4 linked regions of the Lonchura striata genome follow. The protein of the gene in region 1 interacts with the protein of each later gene in a pairwise test. Links are inferred from orthologs where the notes say so. Each region holds a gene or a part of one and is shown in the gene's direction. Other genes may lie near its edges.

Region 1 (7,482 bases):
GGTGGCAGCACACAGCGAGGGACCGGCCATGCCTTCGCCCTCAGCCAGCATAGCAGGAGTACTGTACTTGCATTTCTCCACAAGTCCTCCTTATAGCCATGTTGACAAGGGGGTTGGATTTGTAACGTCATTAATTAAAATCTTTTATTAGAAAGTTTTAGCATGTCAATGAAAACTCTCCCACCAAGAGGCACGAGGAGTTAATTGTTTATTTGTTTGCAAGTAATTAGCAACTAATGGTGACACTAGGGGGGCCACCAAGGGGGACAAAGAGTGTTATCTCTCCTAACCAGAGCATCGACTTCACTTTCTCAAAAGAAGCTGTGCACAAATATAGTACTTCTCTTTTATTTGAAATCATTAATGTATAAAATCAGTTTTTTAAAAAACTTTATACTCTAATGGACTCCACTTACCTAAGCATAGAAGCATGATAGGAAACCAGTCAAGTAATAAGTAATCTTATTTAAGTGAATTTCCTTCCAAGGAAATTTAAAAAATAATCTCTTAATGCTATTAGGGTAATCCCGATGAAAATGCCTCTGTTTTTTCATATGCATATGTAATGGTGAACGTGGTCAATAAAACAACAATAGCTTTTGGCATAAGGCACTGTGCAGTGGGTTGGCAGTGTTGTCAAAGCTCAGTGTAATTGCCTTCCAAGTGCCTGGATTAGTTAATAGGAACAGTTGCACCAACTATTTTAAATAATTCATGCATTCATTTTTCTTATTAAAATAACTTTGTTGCAGCCTTTTTGAAACATAGCAGATATGAAATTTCCTGATAATTCTTCACTACATAAAGGCAAAGTTTCAAGTAATAGAAGTAGTACACTCAAATTTACAGGTTTAGAAGCATGCTTTTTCTCATTGATGTCTCTCCCTTCTTGTAGGTTTATAGCAAACAGAAGCATATTTAAATCGTACGGAGCCAACACTTAAAATCATAAAAACAATTATGAGTAATGGGAAGAAAGGAGATAAAGTCTTTGCAATGAAATCTGACAGAATTCTGATTTCATCCATTATAATAAAATACAGACTATAACATTTTTATATTCAAGCTCAACTGTCAGTCACACAGCAGTTTACATCACATGCTCTAAACCAGCTTTTGGTTCAGGACAAGAAAAGGAGGAATTTCTGTAGAGACACTATAAAATCAAGATTTGTCCAAAAGTAACAGGCAAAAATGAAAACAATATTTTTATTTTGGGAGGAAAAGTAACCCCACCTTCTGGCCTGACTTTGTGTTGTGCAGGAAGATTGTTGTCAAACTGAACTATTAAAAGAGTGACAACTCCAGAAGTGATCTTACCAAGGACACTTCTCACACATATCAATGGATCTTGAAGCAGCATGCATCCGCCTGCAATCTTCGCTTGCAAGATGAGCTCCAGTCACCATTTATGGACCTTAAGCCTTCTCTTGGAAACTGTATTTCATTGTTTGGCCCATTAGTATTGACCAATACTACCTTGCAACCCATTTGAAATTACCTATAGACTTTAACTAAATACCTTGGTAGGGGTAATTAGAGCAACACAGCAAACATTAAGTTGGGAATCCTAAGTAATCAATAATAGGAAAACGCACTGCTCCTTTGGATATGCAAATCCAATCCTCTTACAGCATCACATACTTGATGAGGCAGGAAACTAATCTCCCTTTCAGACTCTGCACCACTGTTTTTCACCCAGGGACAGTGGAGTTCATCTCTTTAGGAGAAGGAGTCTCGTTCTCCAGAGATGGGAAGCCTCCACCAGCTGTTTACTCCAGCTGAGGAAACCACACCAGTGCTCTTGGGGTTTTGGTCTGAAGGCCCAGTTCTTACTCTTGCTGCTTTTTGCTCTTCTCACCACTGCTACTGCACTGCTGGGTCACCTTTCCCTAGAGCTTGGGCAACATTTTCAGATTTTTAAAAGGGTATAAATGGTATATATTATCTTTCTTGATTACTTATCACACTCCAAAAATTCACTTTTCACCTCACCTTTCCCACAACCTCTTTACCCAGTATTTCACCACCTCAGAAGTCATGCTGCAATAAAGCTCTTTTTCAAATATGTTTTTAACACAAATAACAAGTATTATTTTCAAAGCCAACTTCAGAATTCCCAAGTTTTTTTAAAGCAAGAATACCTCAAAACAGTACACCAATTTTCACAAAACAAAGCAGTTAGCTATTTCTTGAAGTAAAAGCTACTTTGACACAGGAAGATTAAGTGAATGCAGCTAAATTCAAGGTTAATCCAAGGTTGCCACTAGCAAAAGTATAAGAAAGTGTGTTAAAAAGTGGGAAACGTTGCAAATAAAACCTACCTTATCCACAGAGCTACTTTCACCCTCCAGCAGAGGCAAAATGTTCTCCCCATAATGGCACACCTCTGGAATCCTCTGAAGACATGTTCACTGCTCTTCTCTCTGTTGACAAAGTGCCAAGTATTAATTCTCCATATTTTTAAGGCTTCTTAGAAGATATTTTGCAGAAAAAACAACAACAACAAAATATAACAACCAAAAACCAACAACTGCCCAAAAAAATCCCCAAACCAAACAAAAAACCCAACTCCACAAATCAAAAAGCCCAAACAATAAAAAACCCCACTCACACTAACAAAAGGTCTACAATGCTGAAAACGGTGTAACACTAAAACAACAATTAGAGGATGCAGAGGGATTCTTCAACTCATTACTCTTACATTTGTTGCAGTCAAATTTGTAGCTCAAGTAAAACTCTTGGATGCCACTCACAGCTGTAAATACACAAAGCGAACTAAACCAAACCCACTTAAAGTTACTACCTCCTGAATTCCACTGGGAAAATGATCTTACAGTACAAAACAAAGTAATTTCTTATTGCTGTAAAGACTGCTGTAAAGCTTGGTCACAAATTAACTGTCTCAAAACCAGAAAGCACAAATATATATACATCATGATATGTTAATGTCCATGACAGGACTTAGTCTGTTAAACACCTTGTAAGATAACACTGAATTATTACCCTTATTGACAGGGAAAGGGAGAGGTGCTGTGACTTGCTTCAGTCAGGTGAGTCACCAGCTGAGCTGGTAAATTAATTGACTGAACAGTATTGGAAATTTCTTTACTACTCCCTACAGGGAAAAACAAAGAACACAACAGCAAAAAAAAAAACAAAACAAAAAAACAACCAAAAACAAAACCACCCACCACCCCCTAAAAAACCCAAACCAACAAACAAACAAAAGCCACCTCAAAAATCTTTGTTTGCAATTTAACACACCCGTCCTGTCCTTTATCTGCTTTTAATGGTAAATCATAACCTGATACAACATAAAGAATGGTCTCATAGCAAGACTGCACCACAATAATTGATCATTTGCTCTGCTGAATGAATATACTTAATATGCTTTCTAATCTGGTCTTCACTAAATTCACCTGGCCCCAAAAAGGCAAAACCAGCAAGGGAATAGCCTTTTTTTTTTTTTTTTTTTTTTTTTTTTCTCCCGCCAGATAAGAACTATCATCAAGTCTACCAGGTCTTGCTCTCTAAAACTACCTGAAAAGGAGGTTGTAGCCAGATAGGGATCATTCTTTTCTCCCAGGTCCAAGAAGGGACGGGACCAGAGGAAACAGCCTCAAGTTGTGCCAGGAAATGTTTAGACTGGATATTGGGAACAGTTTCTCCATGGGCAGGGTGGCACTGAAAATCACCACTCCTGAAGTGTCCAGATGTGAGGATGTGGCACAGGCACGTGGTTTAGTGGTGAACACGGGCTCCTGGATTAAGGGTTGGACTCAATGATCTCAGGTCTTTTCTAACCTTAAGGATTCTACAATTCGAAGTAATTTCAGAGCTGAACCAGTTCCCAAGTCCAACCAATGATCTGTTTTGATTACAGTGAGCCCTCACAGTAGTTTTATGCATTTAAAATTTGCCACCAACCTATGGCACCACAACTATTCAGTCTAAGAGAGCAGAGATACTATTTTCTAACATCTAATCAGAATCTCTCCTGTCTCAGCTTAAGGCCTCTTGGCGTCTCACTGCAAGCACAGTAGAAGAGGATGGCGTCCACTTGGGGCCCATCCACATGGCGGGGATAAGAGGAGACTTGCCAAAAGGGGTGCTCCAAACAACATGGCAAGAGTGCCAAAGACGCTCCAGAACGGCAGGGACCCAACAGCGCTCCCTTGCTGTGGAGCGGCCCTCCAGGTAACTGTCTGTGGGAAGACGCCAGCAGCCCCCGGAGCACAGACAGGGCTGGGAGGACGCTTTGCTCGGCAGGCAGGACTTTAGTCCCGGCAGCCACCTCAGCGGAGGCGAGCCCCGACAGCCCCGGCCTGAGGGGCAGCGCGAGCGCCTCGCCCCCGCGCCTGCGCGCGAACGGGCAGGCTCGCCAGCCAATGGGGAAGCCGGGCGGGCCAACGGGGAAGCTGGGCGGGCCAATGGGGAAGCGGGACGCGCGGGGGGCGGGACGTCCGGCGCGCGGCGCGCGGGGGCGGGTCGGGGCTGGCGGGGGGAGCGCAGCCGCGGGCGCTCAGCGCGGTCGCCGCCATGCCCGGCATCGACAAACTGCCCATCGAGGAGACGCTGGAGGACAGCCCGCAGGTGAGACCGGCCCAGCGCAGGCCGTATCGGGGCCAGCGCTGCCTCCGTGTTGTTCCCGGCCCCGGGAGAGCCGGGAGGACGGGTGACGCCCCAGCTGCCGCCCGGCCCCGCGGGGCTCCGGCGGTCTCGGCTCGGGCTTTCCGCCGCGGCCGCGTCCTGCGAGCGCCCGCTGAGCTCCCGGGAGAGCCGCGGGCCGGGGGCTGCGGGGCCGCGGCGCCTCTGGCCGGCAGCGGGGCTCCGATCCCCACCCCCGCTTCACTCCCAGGCTCCGTTTCGGACACCTCGTGCCCACAAAACCCGTGTCGCCTTCTCAAAACGATCTTTCCTCGTTGTTTTTCGCTAAGGCGCGTTAAGGTTTAATGGAGCCGCGTGAGAAGCGGTTCTGGGTGAGGCTGTCGCGGCGGTGGGAAGCGCACGGTGCCCGGAGGCCTCTCCTGCTCCGATTCTTCTCTTGCGTAGCTGCTGCCTGATCTGTGTCAGCGATGCTCTCTAGCACTGGAGTTTCTTTCTAAAGTAGGAAATGCTTTATTCAGTGGCTCTGGTTTCTCTTGTTGGCAGCAGCAACAGCAGGTCCTTGTGCTGTGCTTCTTAGATGTGGGGAAAAGTTTGCAATGTGTTTTCTTTTATGGCAGCCTTTTGAATTAAGATCCTTGTTGTGGTGCATGGTTTACGTTGTGAGCAGGGTGTCCTTTATTGCAATAGCATATGCATTGGTAGTTTTAATTCCTTGCTCACAGGAAGAGAAACTTTCGCTTGTTAAGAAGGGAACTTTAGTCCCTAAAGTTAAAATTATTTTAACAATTCTCTATCAAGTGGAAGGATGACTTTAAAAAGGCAGGAGAAGGCCATGCACAAAAGGAGTCATTGATTTCCCAAGGACAGTGCCCCAGATAGCTCAAATGCTGAATATGAGATGAGATCTGGGTTCTGGTCCAGGGGCCAAACCTGCTGTCATCTCATGAAGAGGAAAAAATTTTGAAAGTCTTATAATAATACTGATTTTAAAAAATTATCTCTGGAAGGTCTTTTCTTAGTATGAGGAAGTCAGAACTATTCGTATTTATAGGAAATGTCAAATGTAACATGAATTTAGGACTATCTGAGAACATTTGGGAAGCACATGAGAAAATGTTACTTATTGGAATGCAGTTATAATTCTAGAATCTTCCATGTGAGGTTAGTTGTGATACAGACAAGCAAAGGCTAATTCAGCCCGTTGTGTTTGAGATGCTTAAATAATTGGATTTGTCAATATTGTTTTTTGTTTTAGGTAGAAAATTTACATATTTCAGTCAATTTAATATTTCAGATGAATTCTGGGAGCCGGGTTCTCTAGTAAGCGCTCAGTGATTTTCTGTTACATTAGTTAATTGCTATATTAACTAATTTGTTACATTAGTTAATTTCTGTTACTTTGAAGTCAACGTGGTGGAAATGGCAGCAAATGTTGCTTGAAGAAAGCAGAAGCCTCTCTAGAGGAGTTGCTATGACTTGAATACATTCATGCTGAATATTGCCAAGCCCATCAGCCTGGGTGATTGTTTAGTGCTGCACCATGGCCTGGAGTTGTTGTTTCAGACACTGACTGTAGGTATATAAACGCCATATCAAACTTATTCTGTGTCTGAGGGAGGGAAAGGCTTTTCAAAATGTCCAAACCCATTCATTTCCTGTTGTCACAGGATCAAAATCTAACCACTGTGCTTGTCAGGCCCAAACCAAACGCCAAGTTTACATAGTCTTTGCTATGCAAAACAGGGCAATTTACTTATTAACCTAGGACATGTATTACACAGGAAGTCAGTGTGTATTTGGAGAGTTTCTGCTCACACTGATTTGCGTTCCCGAAGCATTGCACAACAAACAAGCCAAAAGACTGGTAGCACAGGCTCTGTCTCCTGTCACCTGCAGTGCCCTCCAGCTGATGGCACAGACAGCTTAAAGCTGACTTCTAACGCGGGGTTTCATCGTGCAGCTTCTCCTGGTCCTTTCCTTGCTTGCTCACAAACACGGATTGAAAGACACTGAAAGAAAATGCCAAATGATGCAGAGTTTTACTAGAAATACAAGTGATCTGCTGTAACGTATTTACAGTTTCAGATTAATTTCTTTCCATTAGTATAATATGATATTGTTTTAACAGTTGAGCATCAATAACAGACATTTTTAAAGTAAAACATAAAATTTTTTTTTCCATGTTCAGTTTTAAAGAGTAAGCATAATCTAGAAACCTTACATAATACTCCTTTAAAATTACAAGCTTAGGTTTATTTATGTTCAGGTTTAAAGGTCATGAGTATATAATTCAATGGTTATAGTACCATGTAATTTTTCCTTTTGCATTCTTTCGTGTATGTCTACCTTAATGGCGCAGTCAAGGCTGTTAGGATGTCATATGTTGCCACACCTGGCAAAGATTTGAGTTCTCCACCTCTTTCCACTTCTTTTATAAATTAGAACCATCATTAAAGCTATTTATTGTGCTGATGATGTTTTTTAATGTTTAAATATCTTTTAGATGTTCTATAGCTTGACAGTAGTTGTGATACAGCCAGGTATTTAATAATGCAACTTAGATAAAAATATCTTATGTCAAAAGAATTGTTAAATAAATATACTTTATATGGGTTTAATATGTACTCTTTGATTATCATTAAAAGCAAAAAATCAGAAATAGCTGAAAAAGGCCTTCATGCTTCAAGGGGAGATGGACTAAAGATATCAGTAATTTCAAGACAGCCTAGAGTAGACTAAAAAATATAATTTCCAATTTCAAGTGTTTAACAATCATAGTTTGGGGGGAAAATCAATTATGTGCTTATGATTATTTAAATTTTCTTCCTGGACATAAATTTTAGTGTAATCCTAGAAACAAAGCATGGTCCT
Region 2 (6,955 bases), on another chromosome or scaffold:
TTCTGAGGCTGGGAAACATCAGTAGAAACAGTATTTGCTTAATTAGCTGTCATGCTGTGTTTCAGAGGAGAGAAACACAAGCAGATGCTGCTGTGAATTTGCTTGCCTGTAGGTTGATGCACTCCAGCACCTGGTGACCTTCCTGTCTTAAGGAAAATCCAACAGCTGGATTTAGGTGCTGACCTGGCCACATGTACAGTGCAGTGAAAGGGCTCAGAGCTCTCTTTGAAGAAAGTTTATCGAGGGCAAACGAAAGAGAGATGGGATGGCTCATTTTATTTCCCACTGTAACCTCATCCATCCAGGTGACAGCATGGCCCAGGACAGGCACTGCTGCTTGGTCAGAGGATGAAGTCTGTAGATCCCCTTGGTTCCTCGGGCTCAGTGTTTGTAAAATTCAACCAGAGCTAATTTTAGAGGCCAGTGCTGACTTTAAAGGCCAGTCCTATCAACCAGACTCCCTAACTACCATCTTAAGAAAGATCCCCTGTTGACTGCATAACCTTGAATTAACTGTTTGTCTCAGACACCATCTAATTTCATAATCTGTAACACCATCATTGAATATCTGTCGTAATTCACTTAATTGCATCTCTGTTGCTACAGTGCTTCAATTTGGGGAAATTTCTGTTTTCTTACTCAGGAAAACAGTTTACACTCTCAAGACCAATTTGCCAGCTGGAGCATAGTTCTGCAAATGGATGCAAAGATAAGGCTCTCATAAATATCTGAAAGCACCATCATCTCTGCATTTACACATTCAACAGCATGAATCTCAATGGCAGTGCAGGCTTGCTCCTAGCACATGATTCTCTGATGGTGGTCCCCTGCAACAGGCCCTGTGGGTTTTCAGGCATGGTCATAGCTCCAATCTGGCACTCAGGAATTACTTGGGAGTGCAAAATCCACAGAAAGATACCAGAAAGTGTTTTTTTCCCCTCTTTTACAAGAATTTTCTTCTCAAGAGGAGATAACTGTGCTCCTGAACTGGGAGTGAGAGGATCACCAGCTGATTAATCCATGCAGGGGACTGTGCTGATGTGGCTGTGTGCCATTTGACAGTCATGTGCAGAAACAGGACAGAGTTTCCCAGTTCAAAACATGAATAGACACCAGAATCTATTCTTTAAGGGCTTGGATCATATATTTAAAACAACTCAGAGATCCTTCTGAATGTTCATGTATCCTCAGGGAGTTTTAGTGTGGTCCTGATTTAGTGCTTGCTCCAATATGAATGAAATGTCAGTTTTGTTTAGCATACTAGCCTGATTTTATTGAATGTAATGATACTTGCATGTTTCCATCAAAATCTTATCTGTGCAGTATTACAAGAGAATCTTGAAGTCTGGATAAGGGGTTTATATTATTTAATAATTGTCATCTCATTCTTAACTGATGTAAGTGAAAGTGGAGCAGTGTGTACTGTACTGATAAAATGGTCTCACCAGATAAAAATGGAAAAGAGACAACCTCCCTCCAATTTTTATTCATTATGTTCATGATTTACTACTGAGCCCAGCCCGATGTTTTAAAATATCTCTTTTAAAAATATCTCTTTAATATTTTAATATTTTAATATACCTCTTAAAAATATGTTTTACTAGCTGTATTAAAATCAAACATACTTATTATAGTTTTGGTTTCCCCTAATTAATTTGAAAAATGCCTTGTAATCATTGTGATATTTTTTGATCTCCTGACTTTTATATATAGAATTATTGCTATCATCTGAAACAACTTTCGTGGTTTGATATATGAAACCCAAAGTTAATCAAATTGTGATGTCTTAATATGAGTGAAAATTGTTTTGACATTCAGAGAATGTTACCACTTTTTCAACCATGTCATAAATATTACTATCCATTTCACCAATATAACATGACCATTTACACTGATGTATTTCAGTATGAAGAGATACAGCTTAAATTCCTTTTTATCCAAATACTCTTGTACCTTTATATTCTTCAAACTTCACATTTCATTTTTTGGAGATTTTCTCAGCCTGCTTTTAGTCTGTGACTGCAGGAGTTAAGGACTTTGTATGGAAAAGACAAAACCCCAAAAGCTTTGAATGCTTTGTCCTCCTGGCATTTGTTTAAATCCTGAAGTGTGTCGTTATTCCAACTTTCAGTGGGCCACAGCAAAATGTTAACTAAATGGGAATTTATTTGATCATAGGGTGCAATTCTGCAGTTCTCATCCCATTGGGGATGAAGGTGACTGAAGGTTTTACTCATTTCAGAAGACCTTGTAGGTTTAAGATCTTTCAAAGGAAAGGGAAGAGAGAGAGATAAGGAAAAAGTCAGTCGGTAAGGTTTTAGAAATTCTTTTTTCTGGAAGTCACTGTTATTCTCATGAAACTTAGAAAAATGGACTCTGTTATACACATACAACTAAAAGAATACTCTTACAACTCATTAGAAAAATAGCATTGTTAGAAAAAGATTGTCATGTTTTTTTCTTTTTTTTCTGTGAATATAAATTCTCATCTTGAGTAGGTTTTAACGACTGGGTGGAAAATAACAAATATTTGGTACAAATAGGGTAAATCTTTTTAAGAATTATTGTAATTATTTTAAAATATTAATTAGTTAATACATCTTAAGATACATCTATATTATGAGGCTTGTTTTAAAAGTGAGAATGATGGAAATTTTTGGCCATATAATTCAAAGAAAAGATGTTGTCTTTTGTCTCATTACATTTTTTAATGCTTTTTGATTATGAAAGAAAAGGAAAGAACCTAACAATTTAAAAGAGCATGACAAACAAGCTAATAGCAGCTTTTAATAAGATTATGAAATCCTTCCAAGCAGTGGGAAGAATTAAATGTGAGGTTCAGCAGAATCACCCATGGCTCCCTCATGTATTTAAAATGCACATGATTTATAACCTCTGTGTGTCTGAAACAGCTATTTACAATTTAAAAGAAAAACAAACAAACAAAACACTCAAAAAATTAAAAAAAAAAAAGAAAAAATGCCACAAAATCCTTTATGTCAAGATGCTCATTTCAGGTGTCTTCCAGAAAAGCTCTGGTTTCAGGTGATGGCCTGGTGCTTGACTCAGTGACAGCAAAGAGTTCACATGGCCCCTCTCTCAAGGATTAATATTTGTAGTGAGATAATTTAGCTCAGTCAAAAAAGTCAAGAAAACAAATAGGGACTCAAAGACAAGATTCAACATCCAAGTCTTCTGATGATAATCTTGAGGCTGTTTTCCTCCTGTTGTGTCACAAATAGTCATTTGGCAATATTTCTAGGATTTCTGTTCCACATGATGAAATTAGTTTACCAGTCCACAGGGACAATTTGGATTTTGGAGTTTTCTTCTGTTTGGATTCCAATAAAGATGCCAAAGGAAAAAGGGAGATGAATCAGCAACTGCATGAAAATTAATCACAGTTGTGAAAAAAAGGGTGTTATTTAGCTCTGGTTTCAGGTCTTTTACCTCATTAGGCAGACTATGTAGAATAATAACACCTTACTTTTGCCTAGGAGAAATACAAACGCAGGGGCCCTTGGATCCATGAGTGGGAGCATAAATAGTGGCATAAATAGAGTGCTTCTCCTTCAGGGACAAAAAGGGTCTGGGCTGTAGAAAGTAAAAATGCTTTGCTGTCCCTTGGTTTCACCAAGCAAGATATGAGAAATAGTGTAGCTGAGAAGGAAGAACCTTTTCCCAGCATATTAAAAGAGCCCTGGTTAGTACAGCTGGGCCCCCTGATTTCAACACCACTTGAAACACAAAATACTTGTGTCATGAAAAAATCAGCATTTGCTCATCTCTATCCCCACTCCAACACCATAAGGAATCTGGGGTCATGAAGCGGAGCTTGCCGAGAAGTCATCCCCTAAGAGCCACATGGTTTGTCCCAGCTTTTGGGGCGGATCTTCCATCCAGGGAGCTGGCCTGGGAGGTCTCTGCATGCTTCCCTTTCCGATAAAGGGGATGGGCACGGACGTGGAGGCAGAGATGCCTCCAGCCCTCGCCTGCCTGCTGCTGCTCCTGGCGGGCTGCCTGGGACACCAGCATCACGCCTGCCGCTGCCTGGCCAGGGTCTTCATCTGCCAGGAGAGCCAGGTGCTCCAGGTTCCCCGGGACATCCCTGCCAACACCACCGAGCTGTAAGTCGGGAAAGGGAGCGCTTGGGAGCAGCAGCCTTGTGGCTGGCTCTCCAAAGGAGCTGCTGCTGGGCAAGGCAAAGGTCAGGTTTGCAGGGGGTCACTTGGGAGACTTCACGCCAGCTGCTTGCAGAGAACAGCCCTTCCTCCAACACGCACTTAATTGCACCTTGAAAATCCTCTCCATTTGTCTGATCTTGAAACTCTTCTCCATTTCTCTGATCGTGCTCATTGTAAGATGTCTGCTAAGAAAGGATTTTGCACATTATAATGCAAAGTGCAAGCAAAATTTGAAACAAGCATCCTTGGTGCTATGACAGTAATCTGAAACATAAAGTCGAAGCTTTTTTACAGCTTTGCTTTAGCGTTGTCGGAACGTGCAGAGCAATTTGTCTGCCCCAAACTACTCGATGATGAGTGTTTGTTTGTACTGCAGGAGCCTTCCAAAGGTTTGTGCTCGTTTGCCAAGAAGCAACTTAATGTTTTCCCTTTGAAATCTTAAAGGCATTGCAGAAAGGACTCTGATAAACATTCAGAGAGGGATCCTCCTCCACCAGAGGAGCAGCGTGGCTGTGGTTGGAGAGAGTGAGCAATGTGAAGATAGAGGAGGGGTTTTGTCTATCTTAAAGCTTCTCATTATTTTTCATAAAAGTAATGAAAGCTGTATGGCAACTGTTTTCTGTGTCAGTAGCACAGGCAAGTGAACAAGCTTGCGCAATGGCAAGTATCTAACTGCAAGAGATTGTTTTCATTTTAATAGTTTTAAGGCAAATATCTCCCTTTGCCAACACCCCCACAGACATCTGGCATTGTTACAACCTAAAGCAAAACCAAAAGGAGTAGTCCTGGATGAAGCCTTTGGTTAATAACTGAAGTGACAAGTTTGAAGGGAGGATACAATGAAGAATGATGTGTCACTAGTTAGAAAAATATACCCCCATTCCAGTCTTACATACCCCAGTATATCCCTGGTTATTATGCCACAGTTTTCCTAGGGCAGAAGTTTTGTTTTCTTCAGAAGGAGGAGTTGTTATGCTCACTGACTAAGCAGACTGCAGTGAAAACTTGAGAGAAATGTCTGAATTAACCACAAAAGGTCAGCAAAAGTTTAAATCATTCTCACAATTGGAGGAAAAACTAATCCATCTGTGATTTAGGTCGTCTAAATCCTGAGTGAACTGTGCTCCAGGCGTATGCAGCTAATTTTGTTTAATTTTGCTTTGATTATTTCTTTAGATTACACAGTTAAGGTCTGCCTTCTAGGGATTAAGCAAAAGCATTTTTTAATTATTTCTGCAAAGAAGTAGAGTATCGCTGAAAAGCACCTGTTAGTAAAATGGGATTTGTTTTCTCCTTGTTAACTTCTCAAGAGTTTGTTGAGGATGCTAATTTGTGGGTTCTTAGCATGAGTGTTATTCTTTGAAACAGGCAGAATACAACATTAGTGTGACTGAAACAGCAAACAAATCCTTTCTTCTGCCAGTGCTGTGCAAATACTGGATTTAGAATCTCTCAACTTGACTCTCTTCTCACTTTCTCAAAATAAACCAGCTTTTGGTTTCTCAGGAAGTAATTCAGGTCCTATTCCATTAGTATAGCCCTGGGACTGATTTCAGCATGCCTTAAAAATTTGAAAAGTGCCTAAAGTAGCTTTGAATATACCAAACCTTAGCATTACCAAAGCCAGATACATTAGCTGAAGAGCTATCAAGTGACAAATAAATCTTAGATTTTTCCTTCAGGATCAACGGGGAACTCTAGAAAAAGTGCTTTCCTCTGCATCTCTCCACTGAGTGCCCAGTGGGGTGATTCAGGTGACTAAAATAGGTTTTACTGCTCCAGATGACACTGCAGGTACACTCCTGGTAGCAGGAAAATCTTGCTTTATGTTTTCTCAAAAAGTCTTAATGGGTGAAAAGAGTTTTTTGTTCAGTGTACCAACTTAAGCACAGAAGGCCATGGTGTCTAAGAACCCTGTACAGGACACAAACAGAGACTTCTTGCTATGTACAGCTCCTGCAAGGTAATTTTTTCACTTATGAGCTCATTCTGGGAGTCTGGATGCAGTCTGTTTTTATTTAATATAAAGGAGAAGGGTCCACTTCATTACACTTCCAACTCTTCACCTTCCCTTATGTGATCTTGATAGCTTTCCTGAGTTATCTTAGAGTCCTTCCCTAGTGCCTTTAAAATGTTGAATAGCATGTTGGTGAATGTTTTAGAGTGAGAACAGGAGCCTGATCAGCCTCAAGCACTTCTCCCTTTGCTGTGTGTTTGTATTTCACTACAACTGTGTCTGAAGTTGGGACACAGGCATGTGGCAGCCAGCTCTGACACTTGCTAGGAAAACTCATTATAAAGGTAAAAACAGTGCCCTCTCTAACAATTATCTCTTTGCCATCGCTGAATTTTTTAATTGTTATTATTTTTTAGTGCTGCCGTGAGGGATTTCTTTGTGGTTGGCTTCACAACAGAGAGAGCTTAGGCTCCAAGGGAAACTTGAGCTCTGCAGTGTGGTGCATGAGACAGGGGTTTGATCCTGGCTGGATTAGCATCTGCTTTAGCAAGGGTGTTGCAGAGGGAAGGCTGGTAGCCTCTTATGTGAGTGATTTCATTTCGTACTTACCTTGCGGAAACAGAGCAGGGATCAGAATCCACATGCTTCCATCACTCTAATTTCTGACACATCTACTTTGTCACTTACAGGCCAAAATCTCATGAGAGATTACAGGCCAAAATCTCATGAGATTACACCTTGGTTTGTCCATTGCTTTTTGCAGATTTCCAAGCACTCTGCAGCTGGCATGTTCTGGTGTTTATAGGGGAGGCTG
Region 3 (7,737 bases), on another chromosome or scaffold:
CTTTTTTTTTTTTTTTTTTTTTTTTTTTCCCTCCCCTGGGTTCCCTCCAGAGTTCTCTGCTCAGCCAGGCTGGTTTTCTTCCCTGCTGGCTCTTCCAGCACATGGGGAAAGCCTGCTCCTGTGCCTTGAAGATTTCTGTCCTAAAGAATGTCCAGCCTTCCTAGAAACCACTATCCTCCATGACTGTCTCCCTAGCGACTCTCCCAACAGGTCTCCTAAACAGGCCCAAATCTGCCCTCTGGAAGTCCAAGGGGGCAGTTCTGCTGATGCCCCTCCTTACTTCTGTGAGAATTGATAACTCTCTCATTTCAGGACCACCGTGCCCAAAGCATCCTCCAATCTTCTCATCACACAACAGTCCTTTTCTCTTGGCAAACCACAGTTCCATTGGGGCACCTTCCCTACTTGGTTCCCTCACCAGCTGCATTAGGAATTTATCTTCCACACACTCCAATAACCTTCTAGACTCCTTTCTCTCTGTGGAATTATATTCCCAGCAGACATCTGGTAAATTGAGTCCCCACAAGAAAAAGGGGCAGCAATCTTGGGACCGTTTTGTGGTTCTGTGTTCCATGAATCCCTAAAATCACATCAACAACTGTGTCAGTCAAAGTAGGAAAAGCAACTAGCACTGAAAAAGACCAGTGCAAATTATTTTGCTCAGTTTTGTTCCTAGGTTAGCAGTCATTTACAAAAATCAGATTTACCAGTTTTAAAATCTTGAAGGACATGTTTCAGATGAAACTGCATGCATTCAGTTAACTTGTTTCCAATGCAAAACCAATCAACAAATTTGTTTTGACAAATTTTCTTCCCTGATTCTTCTATATTCTGGGTAGCTTTATTAGTCAAATAATAGTGCACATTCTAAAAGAAAAATCAAATTCCATTAAAATGCAATTTAGAGAGACGAGAAAGAAATGTATCTATAAATAAAAATACAACTTCCACCACTTAAAAGAGAACATAATGGATAACTGAAAAAAATTTGCAATAAATCATTACATTAAAAAACATTAAAAAATTATTTGCAGATAAATTCCAACAGAGAGGCTCAAACCTTCTGACATTGCACATAACTACAAGAAATTAAAGAAACAGAAAGCAGATGAGCTGGAAGCATGTCCTATGATGTTACCCTGAACTTATTACCCATTGTTAGTACCTTTATAGGGTCAGGAAGGCTAGGGATCTGAAAATCATACTAACTTGGTTAGCTAGACTCTGGAGCTTTTCCAGGTCAATGTCATAATTGACATCTGCATGCAACAAGGTGAGGTTAGCCATGATGCTCTTTGGATAAACCTATTATGAAAACCTTCAAAAAAGGAGATGACAAACTCTCTCAGGGAAGACCTGCTCCAGTTCTGCACTGCCCTGGAGAGACCTGCCTTCCAAGAGATTCCCATGTGTTAAGACCACTGAGATTCAGTCACATTAAACAAACAAGAAATTTTAAAGTTTTGATTATCTTAATTTGCAACCATATGTGTTTTATTGGCTTCCATAAGTTTATAAATTCTTTTGTGTTCTGTACCCAAATCAGTCACAACATGCCATTATTTAAATCACTAATGATATTTAGAAATATCACTTAAATCCATTTAGTTGAGACTATAATCCAACATAAACCATATAAACCATCAGAGGTTCTACTTTTTGTCAACCAAGCAGAAGAAAATAGTACACTTGTTAAAAACCAGCTCTTTGACACAAAACCTAACGTCTTGCCTCTCTGCATATTGATTTTCCTCTAGTACAAATCACTCGCCCATGCTCAGACTGTCTGCTTGGGTAATAGGGCAGAAGGGCAGACATGAAATTACTTACAGTCTACCAAATTCTCTCTCCCTGCTGTTAAAACCTGGCCTACAGCTGGCCTACACTTCTGGGTGTCCAAACACCCTGTGACATTTACTTCGGGACACTGGAGATGCTTCTGTGTTATTCCGAAGGCTGACAGTGGTGACCTCAGTTACTTTAAGACAGTTACTTTAAGGAATATATTTACTCAGAGAGACATAAAAAAGTTGAATTTTCTATCACCATCTACTCATACATGTGTCTGGTTTTGTCTGGGAAGTAAAATTAATTTTCTTTCTAGTAGCTGGTACAGCGCTGTGTTTTGGATTTAGGATGAGAGTGATATTGACAATATCTTAGCAAGCAGGGTTTATACTAAGTCAGGAAGTTTTCAGCTTCTCACATCAACCCACCTGCAAGTAGGCTGTGGGCTGCTGCTCAGGAACTGGCTGGGCATCAGTTGACAGCAACTGTACTGTGCATCACTTGTTTTGTATATTCTAATTATTATTATTATTATGCATTCCTTTTCTGTTCTATTAAAACGTCTTAATCTCAACTCACAAATTTTACTTTTTCTTCCCCCTCAGTTCTCTCCCCCATCCCAAGGGATAGGCGGGAGCAAGCAAGCACTTGAGTGGTGTTTAGCTGCCTGCTAAGTTAAACCAGAGCAACCAAATTAGGAGAAAAAACACAGTAAACAAATAAAGAGACATTAATTAGCTGATCGTACTCCAGACATACTCTTACAAATACACAATTTGCAGTAATAAACTATTCAGATACTGTCTAGCTGAAGTCATGAATCAATAGTCTGTAATACCTTCTACTTGGCTGCAAGTTGGTTCTTCACACGAAGTCCTTGGGTTAACTCCATGAACTGCCATATCACATTACAGCAGCCCTGAGGACACGGCAGGGCTGCTTATCTTGGCAAGCAAGAAGCCAATGGGGTGTCCTTTTTACCTATGGGTGTGGTGTAAACACTGAGGCAGAACTGTTTTGGTCGGAACAGACCTCTAAATGTAACAGCTGCCGAACATTTCTTGCTATGGCTTTTCATGCTCACAAACGTGTCTACAGCATAAGTTTTTAGACAGTTTCTGATTTTATAGTATCTAAGGATAGCCCCATCAGAACCAGAGATCTATCCTTTAAGGAAAGGCGCAACTTGCACTGTGACGTGGTGTCAAAAAAACCAGATCTTCCTGGTAAACACACCATATCATTTATATCCTTTACAATTTGCTGTGGACTTCACTTCCTCACTGCTCACCCCAAAGTACAAACCCATTGCTGGAAACACGCCACGGCCCAGATATGAGCTTCATTCAGCTGTTTGCCAACTGCGCATCTCAACCCATCTCCATGATTACAATCCTGCCTTTGTTAGCCAGAACAAGGGTAACCAGGGACACTCAGGACAGCAACGAGCAGGAGAAAGCCTTGATAGCAACAGAATGTGTTACAAACACACATTGCTGCATGGAGTCAGCAACAAATGTTTATTAGCACCAGCTCATTTTCAGCCCCATAGTCCTTCTTCTCAGGGCACTCCCTCACACCTGAGGTTTGTAGAATACTTGTGCCTTGCAGAGCAAAGAGCTCACCACAATTATGCAAGTTTAAAGGCTTCTGTTCCCAGTTCTTGCCTGAGAGATGATTCACAGCACAGGTAGCTCACATATCCCTTCCCGAGGTCCAGCTGAGTGGTAAAGTAAACGAACTACCATTGGGCAATGCAATTCTGTCAGTGTGGGTGAGCAGCACCCCCTGTGAACACAGCGGATAGCTAAAGTGACCAGGCCTACACCTAACTTTTGCCAAAAAAATGTGCATGCCTTTCACTCACAGCCAGAGAAGGCAGGCAGAGAGCCTGGTATCCAGTTTGGTCGGAAGAGTGAACTCTGATTCCTCAGTGCACCCTGAGCATGGACACAGCACATGGTGCCAAGTTTTGGCAATAGCCTGACCCCAGCTCTCCTCTGCCAGGAAATCGGCAACACACGGAGCAGACATGAGCTATATCAGGTTCACAAAATTACAAAATCATTAGGATTGGAATGGATTTCTGGAGATCATCTAGGCCAACCCCTGACAAGGGAGGGTCACCTTGAGCAGGACCACATCCACATGGGTTTTCAATGCCTCCAGAGAGAGAGACTCCACGAGCTCTATGGGCAGACTGTTCCAGTGCCCCACCATCCTCGTTGTTAATAAGTTCTTAATCATGTTGAAGTGAAACTTATTGTGCTTTAGCTTGTGGCCTTTGCTCCTCATCCTGTTGCCACCGAAGAGTCGGGCATTATCCCCATGACACCCATCCCCGAGACATTCACACGTATTAATGAGCTCTCCTCTTAGTCTTCCCTTCTCCAGACTAAGCAGGCCCAGCTCCCAGTGTCTCCTCAGAAGAGAGATGCTCCAGACCCTTCCTCATCTTTGTGGCCCTCCACTAGACCCTCTCCAGCAGCTCCTTGTCCTTCGTGCATTGAGGAGTCCACTCCCAGCACAAGTACTTGGGACAACCTGTCCTGTCCCTTCTTCCTAACATCCATCCGCTGGTGCTTTTGCGGCAGTGCAGAGGGCCGGGGGCTGCCCATTCCCTGCGCTCCGAGCCGGGCCCGGCCCGGTACCGGGCCCAGGCCCGGTGCGGGTCCCGCTGTCGCTCCAGGGCACGGCTCGGCTCCTCCCGAGGCCGCAGCTCCGTGCGCCGCTCCCCGCGCCCCGGCGGCGTGCCCCGCGCCCGCCGCCCCCGGAGCCCTTCCCCGCACCTGTAGTTGTAGCTGCTGAAGCGCTGGCTCTCCCGCAGCAGGGCGCGGTACAGCCGCAGCACCTGGGCACGGCTGGACGCTGCCATGTTGCCGACACCGAGCCGCTCCTCCCGCGGCGAGGCCCCTTTTCCCCGCCCTCCCGCCGCCCGCGCCGGGCGCAGCCGCGGCGGAGCGGAGCCGCAGGGCGGGCGGTGAGTGGCGGCGGCCGCGGCTCGGCCGGGCCTGGCGCTCGGCGCGGGCGGGGCCGCGCGGGGCGGGCGAGAGCGGGTCCCCGGCCGGGGACGGCCCGCGGGCGGCGGGCTCGGGGCGCTCGGGGCCGGTTCCCGGGTCCCGCCGCGTCGGGCCTGCCCGCAGCTCCGGCAGGGATCCCAAGGCGCGACTGCCCGGGGGTGCCTGCCGGGCTCGGCCGTGCGGCTGTGGAGGGCCCGAGGGCGGGGAGGGGAGGCCCGAGCGACGGGGAAAGCGAAACCAGCGCTCCGATGCTCGGCCGGCGCAGCAGCGCGGTGTGCGCGCCCCGGTGTGCCGCAGGGGGAGGGGGGTGCTGCCGGGGAATGGATGTCGGGGCTGGAAAGGAGCAACAAGTGATGTGTGCAGGGGGTTGCCTCGGAATCGCTGTATACATTCGCAGTCAGAATTCATGTACTGGAGAGGATTCCCCAGAGGCCACGAAGGTGATTTAGAGTCCGGAGCATCTGTCTTCATGAGGACAGACTGCGGGTGCTGGGCCTGTTCAGTCTGGAGAGCAGAGGACTGAGAGGGGATCTCATTAATGCATCTGAGTATATCACAGGTGGATTACAAGAGGCTAGCATGTCCAGTGATGCCCAGCAAAAGGACGAGGAGCAGTGGCCATAAACTAGAAACCAAAGTTTCACCTCAATGTGAGAAACAACTTTACATTAAGGATAGCAGAAAAGGTGGAACATGCTGTGCAGGGAGCTTGTGGAGTCTCACTCTCTGGAGACAATGAAAACCCACCTGGATACATTCCTGTGTCACCTGTTAGGAAGGTTGTACTACATGATCTTCAGAGGTGCCTTCCAACCCCAACATTCTGTGATTCTCTGAAATCACTATAGACAATTGCAGTCATTGTACATCTGTGCTAGCGTACCAGGGCCTGTGTTGTTATAGTGATGTTTGAATTGTTCCTCTCTCAATATCTGTTTCTAAGATGATTTCTGTTATTTAAACCACATGTCTTCCTTTGCTGAAATTTTTGCCACTGCAGAATAAACTTAACTTTGTAACTTGCAGCTATATTTAATACTGGTTTTTGAAGTTTATCAGCCATTTATTTAGTCATAGAATCATTAAAGTTGGAAGAGACCTTTAGTCTCCAGTGCATCTGTCCACCCAGCACTGCTACTGTAACCCCTAAACCATCTCACCCAGAGGCACATCCAGGAGTCTCTTGCCCACTTCCAGGGATGGTAACCACCATCTCCCTGGGTAACCTATTCCAATGCTTGACCCCCATAACAATGTATTTTTCCCCGCCTAATATCTAATCTGAATCTCCCCTGTCTCAGTTTAAGGCCCTTTCCTCTGGTCTTCTCACTGCAGTCACACAGAAGAAATTAGTCCCCACTACTAGAACCTCCTTTCAGGTATCATGACAGGGTTCCTGCTTTTTTCACAGGTTGCTATTTATATGGTAGGTGTTTAAAACAACTGCCATGTAGATATTCCACATGTCTCTGGCAAAAGTGCTTCAATTGCCACTTCTAATTTAACTCATGTTTTATTGCATATGCATTTGAGTATTAACATCAGTTGTACATCTGATGCAATTTACAGTTCATTGCAAAGAACTAAAATAGTTCTGTGCTTTTGGATGTAATTAGTATAGACATGAATTTATTTCAAATTTACCTTCACAGATATGCTGTGTTTTAGCAATCCTTTTAGGCTTTGGAAAACTGAGAGTTTTTGTATGTAGAAAATTTCCTGGATATTTTCTTTATCTCTTTTTTCTAGTTTATCCCAAACTATAAGTATTACAGGAAATGTAGAAAAACATATGCAGCTGCAGTACTGGGATAAGCATCATGCTTCTGAGGCCTTCCCTTATAAGTTACAAACCAGTGTGTTTTGGGTTAGGTCTTGGCATTCAGGACACCCACATAGAGAAATACAAAGAAAGCATGCCTTTCATTTGCCAGTGGGATCAACCAAATTCTCCTTACAGCCCAAGCCATGTTGTTAAAGCAGATTGCCATGCCAGAAGCAAAACCCATCTGGGGTGCTGGTGCTCCCCATCTCTGCAGCTGTTGGTGGCTGGGCAGCACCAGTCATAATACATGTTACAAAAGAACTCTGGCTTTGTGTCTACAGACTTACCTTCTCTGAAAGCAGCAGTGGCCACTCTGCCCTTTTTTATGAGGGTGGGCTTCAGACAGCTTAAAATGATATGGGGCTGTCACATAACAGCCAAACTTAGGTTTGAGAGTTAGCAAATTTATGTGATACCATACTGTTGATGAGTGTGGCAGTTGTTCCATCTAATTTTACAATAGCCCTCAGGTATTATTGCAAATAAAGTTTTCACAGTATAATCCTCAGCTCTAAAAGATGAGGGTGTAATTGGGATGAAAGCATCCAGCAAATTCTGTTTACAAGAACAGTATTAATTTAATGTTTGAAAAGTAATCAGAAATAATTTTTAGATAGCCTCAGATGCTAATTCTGTTCCTGAAACTCCCTAACAGTTTTTGTGAATTTTAATTTTTTTTTTTAAGGTAACCCTGTTTTTTCTTGAAAAAACCTAGAAATATCCTATGTTTAGAATAAGCAGTAAGCCCATACAGTGGATGATCAAATGCAAAGTAAATTTATCAAAGGAGAAAAGTCTTTCCTCTTGTCTCCTTTTTCTAGCTTAACCTTTAATACACTCAAGGACGGTATTTTGTCAGAAAGGAGTCACCTTTGTGCAGTTGGGTTGGCACTGTTAACTAGAAAAATTAATGACTTTCTCCTGCATTTGTTGTTGTGTTTCCTTGGAAATGATGGGTTATGGTCCCAGAAGTTGTATCATTCTTCAGGAAGTGGACAGTGCTGTGGCTGGGATACAGGTGGTTCTGCTGGCCTTTGTTTATGTGCACCACTGCAAGCCTGCAGGGCATTCAAAGGACAGGCACAGCCCAAATGACCATTGCAT
Region 4 (7,037 bases), on another chromosome or scaffold:
CCCCGTGGGCATCCCGGCGCCCAGCGGGCATTCCAGTCCCTGTGGACATCCCAGAGCCTGGCACACATCCCCGACACCCAGCAGACATCCTGGTACCCTGCTGGCGTCCTTACACCTGCCACACCTCTTTGTATCCTGTGGGTATCACCTGGCAGGCCCCCCCAGCACCCTCTGGGCACCCCAGCACCTGGCCCTTAATCCCTGAGCAAAAAGGCCCTGGGAGAGAACCGAGGAGGAAGGACAGGGCTTGCTTTTCACCAGTATCTCTACAGGGAGATAAAGGGCATCCCGGGTGTCCCAGCACCTGCTGGGCATCTTGGCACCCTCTGGGTATTCTGGCACCCTCTGGGAACTCTGACACACCCTCCGGGCAGCAGTATCTCAGCAGGGAGACGCTGGTGATCTAACCTAAGTGCCATAAGGTGGTTAGATCACAGGGACAGCTTGGTTCCAGGGAGGATGTTCTCCTGCAGAGTAAAGGCCGTCCCTTCCCAAAACAGCCTTACCAGCAAGAATTGTCCCTAAACAGGCAGCGAGGCTGCTTGGCATGTGTCACTTTGCAAAAGTCCTGCGTGTTTTGCTGGGTGATGTGGACTTGCAGAGGTGCCTCAGTAGACATCTGAATAGTGATGTTAAATAGGAGAGGCTCATTTTGACACCCAGGCACTGTAAAATCTGCGGGCTGTCAATATTGTGACAGCCAAGGCCCTGGGCTGTTGTGTCCTAAAAAAGCAATCAGTCCTCCTTCAGTGCCACTTCCTGAGGGAAGCATATCAGAGCTCCAGCAGGGATCAGAGTGCAAAAACACACCCGGCTCGACTCCTGCTAACGAGCAAACAGCCCTTACTTGTCCCCATTATAATCCCCCTGCCGTCAGCCCGGTCAGGGGTATAATGTGATTGTTTTCATGGCTATTTGTGGCTACCTGAAACCCCACCACTGCTCTTCAGCACATAATAGCCCTGAAGAGGGACAGTTTCCATCTCCACATATGATTGTGCCCATTACTGTATCTATATTTTATTAGTGGCTGTTGCAATGTACATTAAGGAGATGTACATTTATCGCTGTGCTGGATAAAGCTCAGCTTTGAAACCTCGAGAAGACATGGCATCAGATTAAATGAATCAAAGGGCACCTTCTGCCTTTCTCAAAGGCCTGATTCTGCTCCCACAAAGGCACAATTCTCCCTGGCTACAGAGGGAGAGGAGTTGCTACCTTGTCCACAGCTCCAAGTGGCTGGATGAACGCCCTGGGGAAATGTGTCATACTCCCCCCTCCAGCACAACAATGGTCAGAGGGTGAAATCCTCATGCCAGAGACACTCATGCTCTAGAAGTTCTGAATGCTGCCTATCAACTCTACAGCTTGTCCTAAGAGGTCAGGGCACGTGGATGTAGGTCTGTGTTCCCAGGAGCACATCCCTAGAAACCGCTGTAAATCCACAGTGGCACTGAGTGGGTATTTAAACTGCCTTTCCCTGTGGGGCATGATGCTTTTTAGCCACCCAATGGTCCCTTTTAGCTCCATTCTGTTTCTTATCCCTGGGGTTGAAGCCAAAAATGCTCCAGCAAGGAATCACATTAAAACACTGCCTTTCTCATTAACAGGATGCTGTGGGGAGAGATTAAATGCTGGGGTGGAGGCTGGCTTGGCCTGGGAGCAGGCAGGGGCTAGAGGGCTTCACTGCCTGCAGCTCCCTGATTTGGAGGCAGGACAGGGTTAGTTTGTACTTCTCCATCCCTCCAAGCATCCTGCTGCCCTGCCACCCACACCCAGGGGCAGTGAGGAGCTGGGCAGAGCTCCCAGTGCACCCATCACCCACACACTGCCTGCCCAGCATCGTCTCAGCTGCTTCCCAGAGCTTTAGGGCCATTTGCAAGATTGGAAAATCCCAATCTTGAAGAGAGGGTTCCAGAATGTAGGAGGTGAGCACAGGCCACCTTTATCCTGGTTGTTTTTCCTAAATGGAGAAACCTTGGAAGGTGAACTGAAAGCCAGTTGGTTGATCCAGCCAAGGCAGAGCAGTCTGAGGGAGAGAACAAGAGAGAAAACACTGCTCTGCTGCTCCTGGAGTGTTTGCTGCAAGAGAACAAATTAGGCTGAGGATTTCAGGCATTTTTGTGATATTCAAGCCAGTGCTGCACAGGCAGGAAGGTCCAGGAAGAGAAGAGGCAGAATGTGTTGTGCTAAAAGATAGGCAGTGAAGGCTATTTTGGATTCCTTTAGTCCTTTGCCTGCCAGAGCAGCAGGACCTGCTCAAAAAAACTTCTCTGTTTACAAAATCTCTGCAGACAGAGGGGGAAAAGCCTTAGAGTCAATGAAGCCAAATATTCTGCTCATTTGCATACACTAATGAGGGCTTCTAGGAGCCATGAAAAGCAAGGCCAGGCTTTGATGTCAGCTGGAGAACAGCTCCCAGCATCGAGCAGTGCCAGGGTGGACCCCCACCTGTGCCCAGGCTGAGGGGTCTGCAAACAGCACAGCCCCCATCAGTGGGGAGGGGAGGTGATGCAGGGCAGCCCACAGTGACTGAGAACTCGGGGAGGATGAGGTGCAGTGTCCCCCCACCACTGGGGCTCAGGGACAATGCACTGCAGCCCCCCCCCATCTCCAGGGACCAGGGGATGATGCAGCTCAGCATCCTCCATCCCTGGGGACGATGCAATGCAGCCTCCCCTCCCAATCCCTGGGGTTCATGGGATGATGCAGTGCAGCCCCCCATGCCCAGGGACCAGAGAACGATGCAGTGCAGCCCTCCACATCCCTGGGGATGATGATGCAGACCCCCCCCCATCCTTGAGGATGATGCAGAGCAGCCCCACACCACTGTGGGTCAGAGGAGGATGCACTGCAGCCCCCATCCCTGGGGGCGATGATACAGTCCCCCCCATCCTTGGGGATGAAGACGCAGTCCCCCCATCCTTGGGGATGAAGATGCAGTCTCCCCCATCCTTGGGGATGAAGATGCAGTCTCCCCCATCCTTGGGGATGAAGATGCAGCCCCTCCAATCCCTGAGGGCGATGATGCCGTCCCCCCATCCCTGGAGATGATGCAGAGCAGCTCCACACCCCTGTGGGTCAGAGAACGATGCACTGCAGCCCCCCATCCCCGGAGGCGATGCTGCAATCCCCCCATCCCCGGGGGCGATGCTGCAAACCCCCCATCCCCGGGGCCGGCGATGCAATCCCCCCATCCCCGGGGGCGATGCTGCAATCCCCCCATCCCCGGGGCCGGCGATGCAATCCCCCCATCCCCGGGGGCGATGCTGCAATCCCCCCATCCCCGGGGCCGGCGATGCAAACCCCCCATCCCCGGGGCCGGCGATGCAATCCCCCCATCCCCGGGGGCGATGCTGCAATTCCCCCATCCCCGGGGGCGATGCTGCAAACCCCCCATCCCCGGGGCGATGCTGCAATCCCCCCATCCCCGGGGGCGATGCTGCAATTCCCCCATCCCCGGGGCGATGCTGCAATCCCCCCATCCCCGGGGCCGGCGATGCAATCCCCCCATCCCCGGGGGCGATGCTGCAAACCCCCCATCCCCGGGGCGATGCTGCAATTCCCCCATCCCCGGGGGCGATGCTGCAAACCCCCCATCCCCGGGGGCGATGCTGCAAACCCCCCATCCCCGGGGCCGGTGATGCAATCCCCCCATCCCCGGGGCCGGTGATGCAATCCCCCCATCCCCGGGGCCGGTGATGCAAACCCCCCCATCCCCGGGGCCGGTGATGCAATCCCCCCATCCCCGGGGGCGGTGATGCAATCCCCGTTCCCGGGATCAGCAGACGAAGCCGCCCCCGCCCCAGCTCCGGTAACGCGGCGGGGCCGGTCCCGGTCCCGCCAGGCCCCGCCCCTTTCCCGCCCGCCGCGGTGGGCGTGGCCTGCGCCGGCTGTGGGCGTGGCCTGTGCCGGCTGTGGGCGTGGCCCGCCGGCCCCGCCCCTGGGCCGTTACTTGCCGCCCCTCCCCTGCCCTCCCCCTCCCGCCGGCCGCGCGCTCCCGCTCACCGGCGCCATGGCGGACCAGCCCGAGGAGGGGGCACCGGCACCGCCGGCACCGCCGGCTCCACCGGCTCCCCCCGCCGCGCTGCCCCTCTCCGCCCCGCCGGGCGGCTCGCAGCGCCTCCTCTTCTCCCACGACCTGGTGTCGGGCCGCTACCGCGGCTCCGTGCGCTTCGGCCTGGTGCGCCTCATCCACGGCGAGGACTCGGAGGAGGACTCCGAGGAGGGCGGGCGCGGGACCGCGGCCGGCGGCGCCGCCAGCTCGGGCGGCTCCGAGTCGGGAGGCCCCGGGGCCGGCGGCGGGGAGGACGGCCGCGCCAGCCCGCTGCGGCGGGGCTACGTGCGGGTGCAGTGGTACCCGGAGGGCATCAAGCAGCACGTCAAGGAGACCAAGGTAACCGGGGGCGGCCTGCGCGGGCCCGGGGCCTCCCCGCGGGGCTGCCGCCGGTTGCACGACCGGGGCGCCGCCTCCGGGGCCTCCCGGGGCAGGGCCTGCGGGGTCGGGTGCGTTGGAGGCTCCCGAGCGGGGGGGAGGTCGCTGCCCCGTTTGCCCCGTGCAGCCAGAACACACAGCCGGCGTTCCCCGGAGTGTGAAATCCCCTTCCCTCCCTTCGCCACGCTCGCTCTGGCCGCCCAGCGTGGATGCTGCTGCTGCCCTGCGCTGATGGCAGAGCACGGCTGCTGTGCTGAGGCGGTGGGGCTCGCTGGCGGAAGGAGAAGTGGGCCTGTGAAGGTGATTTGAGCCAACTTCCAGACAGCTCCTACTTGCTGGAGTTGTAGGCCGGTGTCTCAGCCTTTACTGAGCAGTGTCGTCACCGCCTGTGCTAGGGGGAGTCAGCAGTCCAGCAGGGAAACCACCCCTGGATAAAGGTTTCAGCAGGAAGCAAACACGGTTTGGATCTGCCCTTGTTTACGTGAGCATTTACCCCTTGCTAATGAGTTGCACGTAAATCTGTGGCATCTTAATTATATCTGACGAGGCACAAGGTGTGGGTCTGCCTTGGAATACTCCCACTTGGCAAAGTTGGTCTGGCCGGGGGTTTTTTAGCCCAGGCTGACTGACAGTTCGGAGACAAAAGCAGGCGAGGGGGGCACTGTAATAGAGCACAAAGGGGCTGCCAGGGATGGGCGTTGCACTGAGCTGCGCTGTCCCTGCAGGCTGCCCCTGCTCCTCTGGGCTGGCAGTGCAAAGCAGGAGGCTTCTGGAGAACCGTCTGCTTTGCAGAAGGCAAAGAAACGGCCCCGCACGCCGCAGGAGAGAGGGGAGACTGAGAGGAAGAAAGGTGTGTTGCAGTCTTAAAGGCATCGCTAGGATTGCCAGCGCTACAGAATGAGCTAAATTTAGGTGGTAGTGTCATTAGACACGTGACTGCTTGGAGATAAGGAAAATGAAAACAGGTATTCTGAAAAAGATACTGCCACGTTATGTATTTCTACCTTAAAAAAAAAAAAAACCACCTCTTTTCCCTAGAAAAAACTCCACAATTCAATCACTGCAGCCTTCCAGTAAAATCTTCATGTGTTGTTGCAGCAAAAATGTGTCCCAAGTTCAGTTTGGTTTTCAGCATCTAAGCAAAGCCACTTCCATTTGGGTGAGTAACCGTGGATTTAGTTGGTGCTGTTGGGTTCCTAAATCCAGAAGTGTTAGCTCTGACTTCAGTCACTTGGTAACTACACCCATTGCAGTGTTAGAAGAAGCTGGACTGAGGGGGATCAGAAATCAAAGACACTTATGTAAATAAACAGTCTCTGTTTTTCCTTTTAGTGCTGCTGCCCTGGTGTAGGTGCCTTTACCACTCGGGTAATGGACCCTGGAGAGAAGTTTCCTGAGTGCTAGAGAAATTTAGGTGTACTTCTATTGATTTTTTTTTTTTTGGAAAGCAGCCCACTAACTAAATTGAGAGGCATTGTGTACAGTCTGTACTGCAGTTTGGGGTTGCTGAAAACAAACCTGATGCCACTGGAAACATGCAGTGGGACTGATCATGGTTTTGTGGTTATAATTGGGTTTTTTAGCTGTTTGCTGACCCAGTCTCTTTTGGGTTCCACTGATGTGTGAGAACCAGCCAGGTAAGCCTGACAGGCTTGTCATTGTCCTTGCTGGTACAAACCATTATACGTTTTTCCTGGGTCTAAAGTTTTTGGTGCTGTTGCCTACAGGTACATCTTTTGGCTGTGCCTGATTCTCTGGCATCTTTGGCTGTGAGGGTCTTATTTGATGTCCTTAAAACATTAACCTGTCCTGGTGACAGCTCAGCCCTGGACTCCAGAGGATGCTTGTTGCACTCTTTTATTTCCCTTAAATCTGGAATGGGCAGAGGGTAAAGGTGCTCTTGGGGCCAGGGCTTTTGTGTATCTATTTAGTGTATCAGGTCCTGATTCCACACAGAAGACTGCCTGTCTACCTCCTGTTTGTCAGCTGCTTCAGGATCTGGGAATCCTGATGTGTACTGGATAGAGCAAGTGTTGTAACCGAAGGAGAAATAAAGTTGTTGGGAAGTTTGAGTCCAGTGAAACAGCACCTTTGGCTTCCAGTGCAAAGGTCAAAAGCAGTGTTCTGTACCCAATTAATCCTTGAGCTTTCCTGTCTTTTCTTGGACAGTTTGGGGTTTTTTTGGTGTAGGTTGTCCAGTAATTTTTGCTGTTGGTTCTGTTTCAATGCTTGCTGTTGCTCTTTCCTGTTGGGAATGGTAGGCAGAATGCCACTTAAACCCAGGCACACAATTACTGATATTAGTCAGTAATAGAAACTTTCTCTTGAGATAGAGCTCGGCAGTTGGTGCAAAACCCCACCAGCTCCTCCAAGAATTGCACATGTGAGCACATTCCTGCCTTTGGTTCCCCTGTTGATAACAATGTTCCCCAGCATAACAATTATGTGAATAAAAAGAGACAGGATTTCTTTCTCTGTGGCTTCAAGTGCTCCTTTTCTGCTTTCCATGGCAGTATCACCCATTTAAGACATTGGGAAATCACTGTCGCTGAGCATTGTAAAACCTAAGCAGACCTGGAAGGAGAAAGCTTCCTTTTCCAAA

Evidence for each region.
Region 2: the proteins of APPL1 (region 1) and FSHR interact in a two-hybrid assay, tested with the Homo sapiens proteins (2 studies listed by BioGRID). The link is inferred for Lonchura striata from reciprocal best matches to the Homo sapiens genes APPL1 and FSHR.
Region 3: the proteins of APPL1 (region 1) and FARS2 interact in binary tests that used the Homo sapiens proteins (3 or more experiments, as listed by UniProt). The two-hybrid records come from large-scale screens. The link is inferred for Lonchura striata from reciprocal best matches to the Homo sapiens genes APPL1 and FARS2.
Region 4: the proteins of APPL1 (region 1) and UBE2O interact in binary tests that used the Homo sapiens proteins (3 or more experiments, as listed by UniProt). The two-hybrid records come from large-scale screens. The link is inferred for Lonchura striata from reciprocal best matches to the Homo sapiens genes APPL1 and UBE2O.

The regions. Positions count from the first base shown.
Region 1 is NC_134614.1:12,167,028-12,174,509, forward strand, and holds the start of APPL1 (DCC-interacting protein 13-alpha), read left to right. Parts: upstream 1-4,480; 5' UTR 4,481-4,542; coding exon 4,543-4,596; intron 4,597-7,482. Other genes in the region: HESX1 (homeobox expressed in ES cells 1), read right to left, coding at 1-51. UniProt on the Homo sapiens protein: Multifunctional adapter protein that binds to various membrane receptors, nuclear factors and signaling proteins to regulate many processes, such as cell proliferation, immune response, endosomal trafficking and cell metabolism.
Region 2 is NC_134605.1:20,629,213-20,636,167, reverse strand, and holds the start of FSHR (follicle-stimulating hormone receptor), read left to right. Parts: upstream 1-3,948; 5' UTR 3,949-3,951; coding exon 3,952-4,127; intron 4,128-6,955. UniProt on the Homo sapiens protein: G protein-coupled receptor for follitropin, the follicle-stimulating hormone. Through cAMP production activates the downstream PI3K-AKT and ERK1/ERK2 signaling pathways.
Region 3 is NC_134603.1:94,003,353-94,011,089, reverse strand, and holds the start of FARS2 (phenylalanine--tRNA ligase, mitochondrial), read left to right. Parts: upstream 1-4,734; 5' UTR 4,735-4,768; intron 4,769-7,737. Other genes in the region: LYRM4 (LYR motif-containing protein 4), read right to left, coding at 4,578-4,663. UniProt on the Homo sapiens protein: Is responsible for the charging of tRNA(Phe) with phenylalanine in mitochondrial translation.
Region 4 is NC_134621.1:4,067,298-4,074,334, forward strand, and holds the start of UBE2O ((E3-independent) E2 ubiquitin-conjugating enzyme), read left to right. Parts: upstream 1-4,015; coding exon 4,016-4,396; intron 4,397-7,037. UniProt on the Homo sapiens protein: E2/E3 hybrid ubiquitin-protein ligase that displays both E2 and E3 ligase activities and mediates monoubiquitination of target proteins. Negatively regulates TRAF6-mediated NF-kappa-B activation independently of its E2 activity.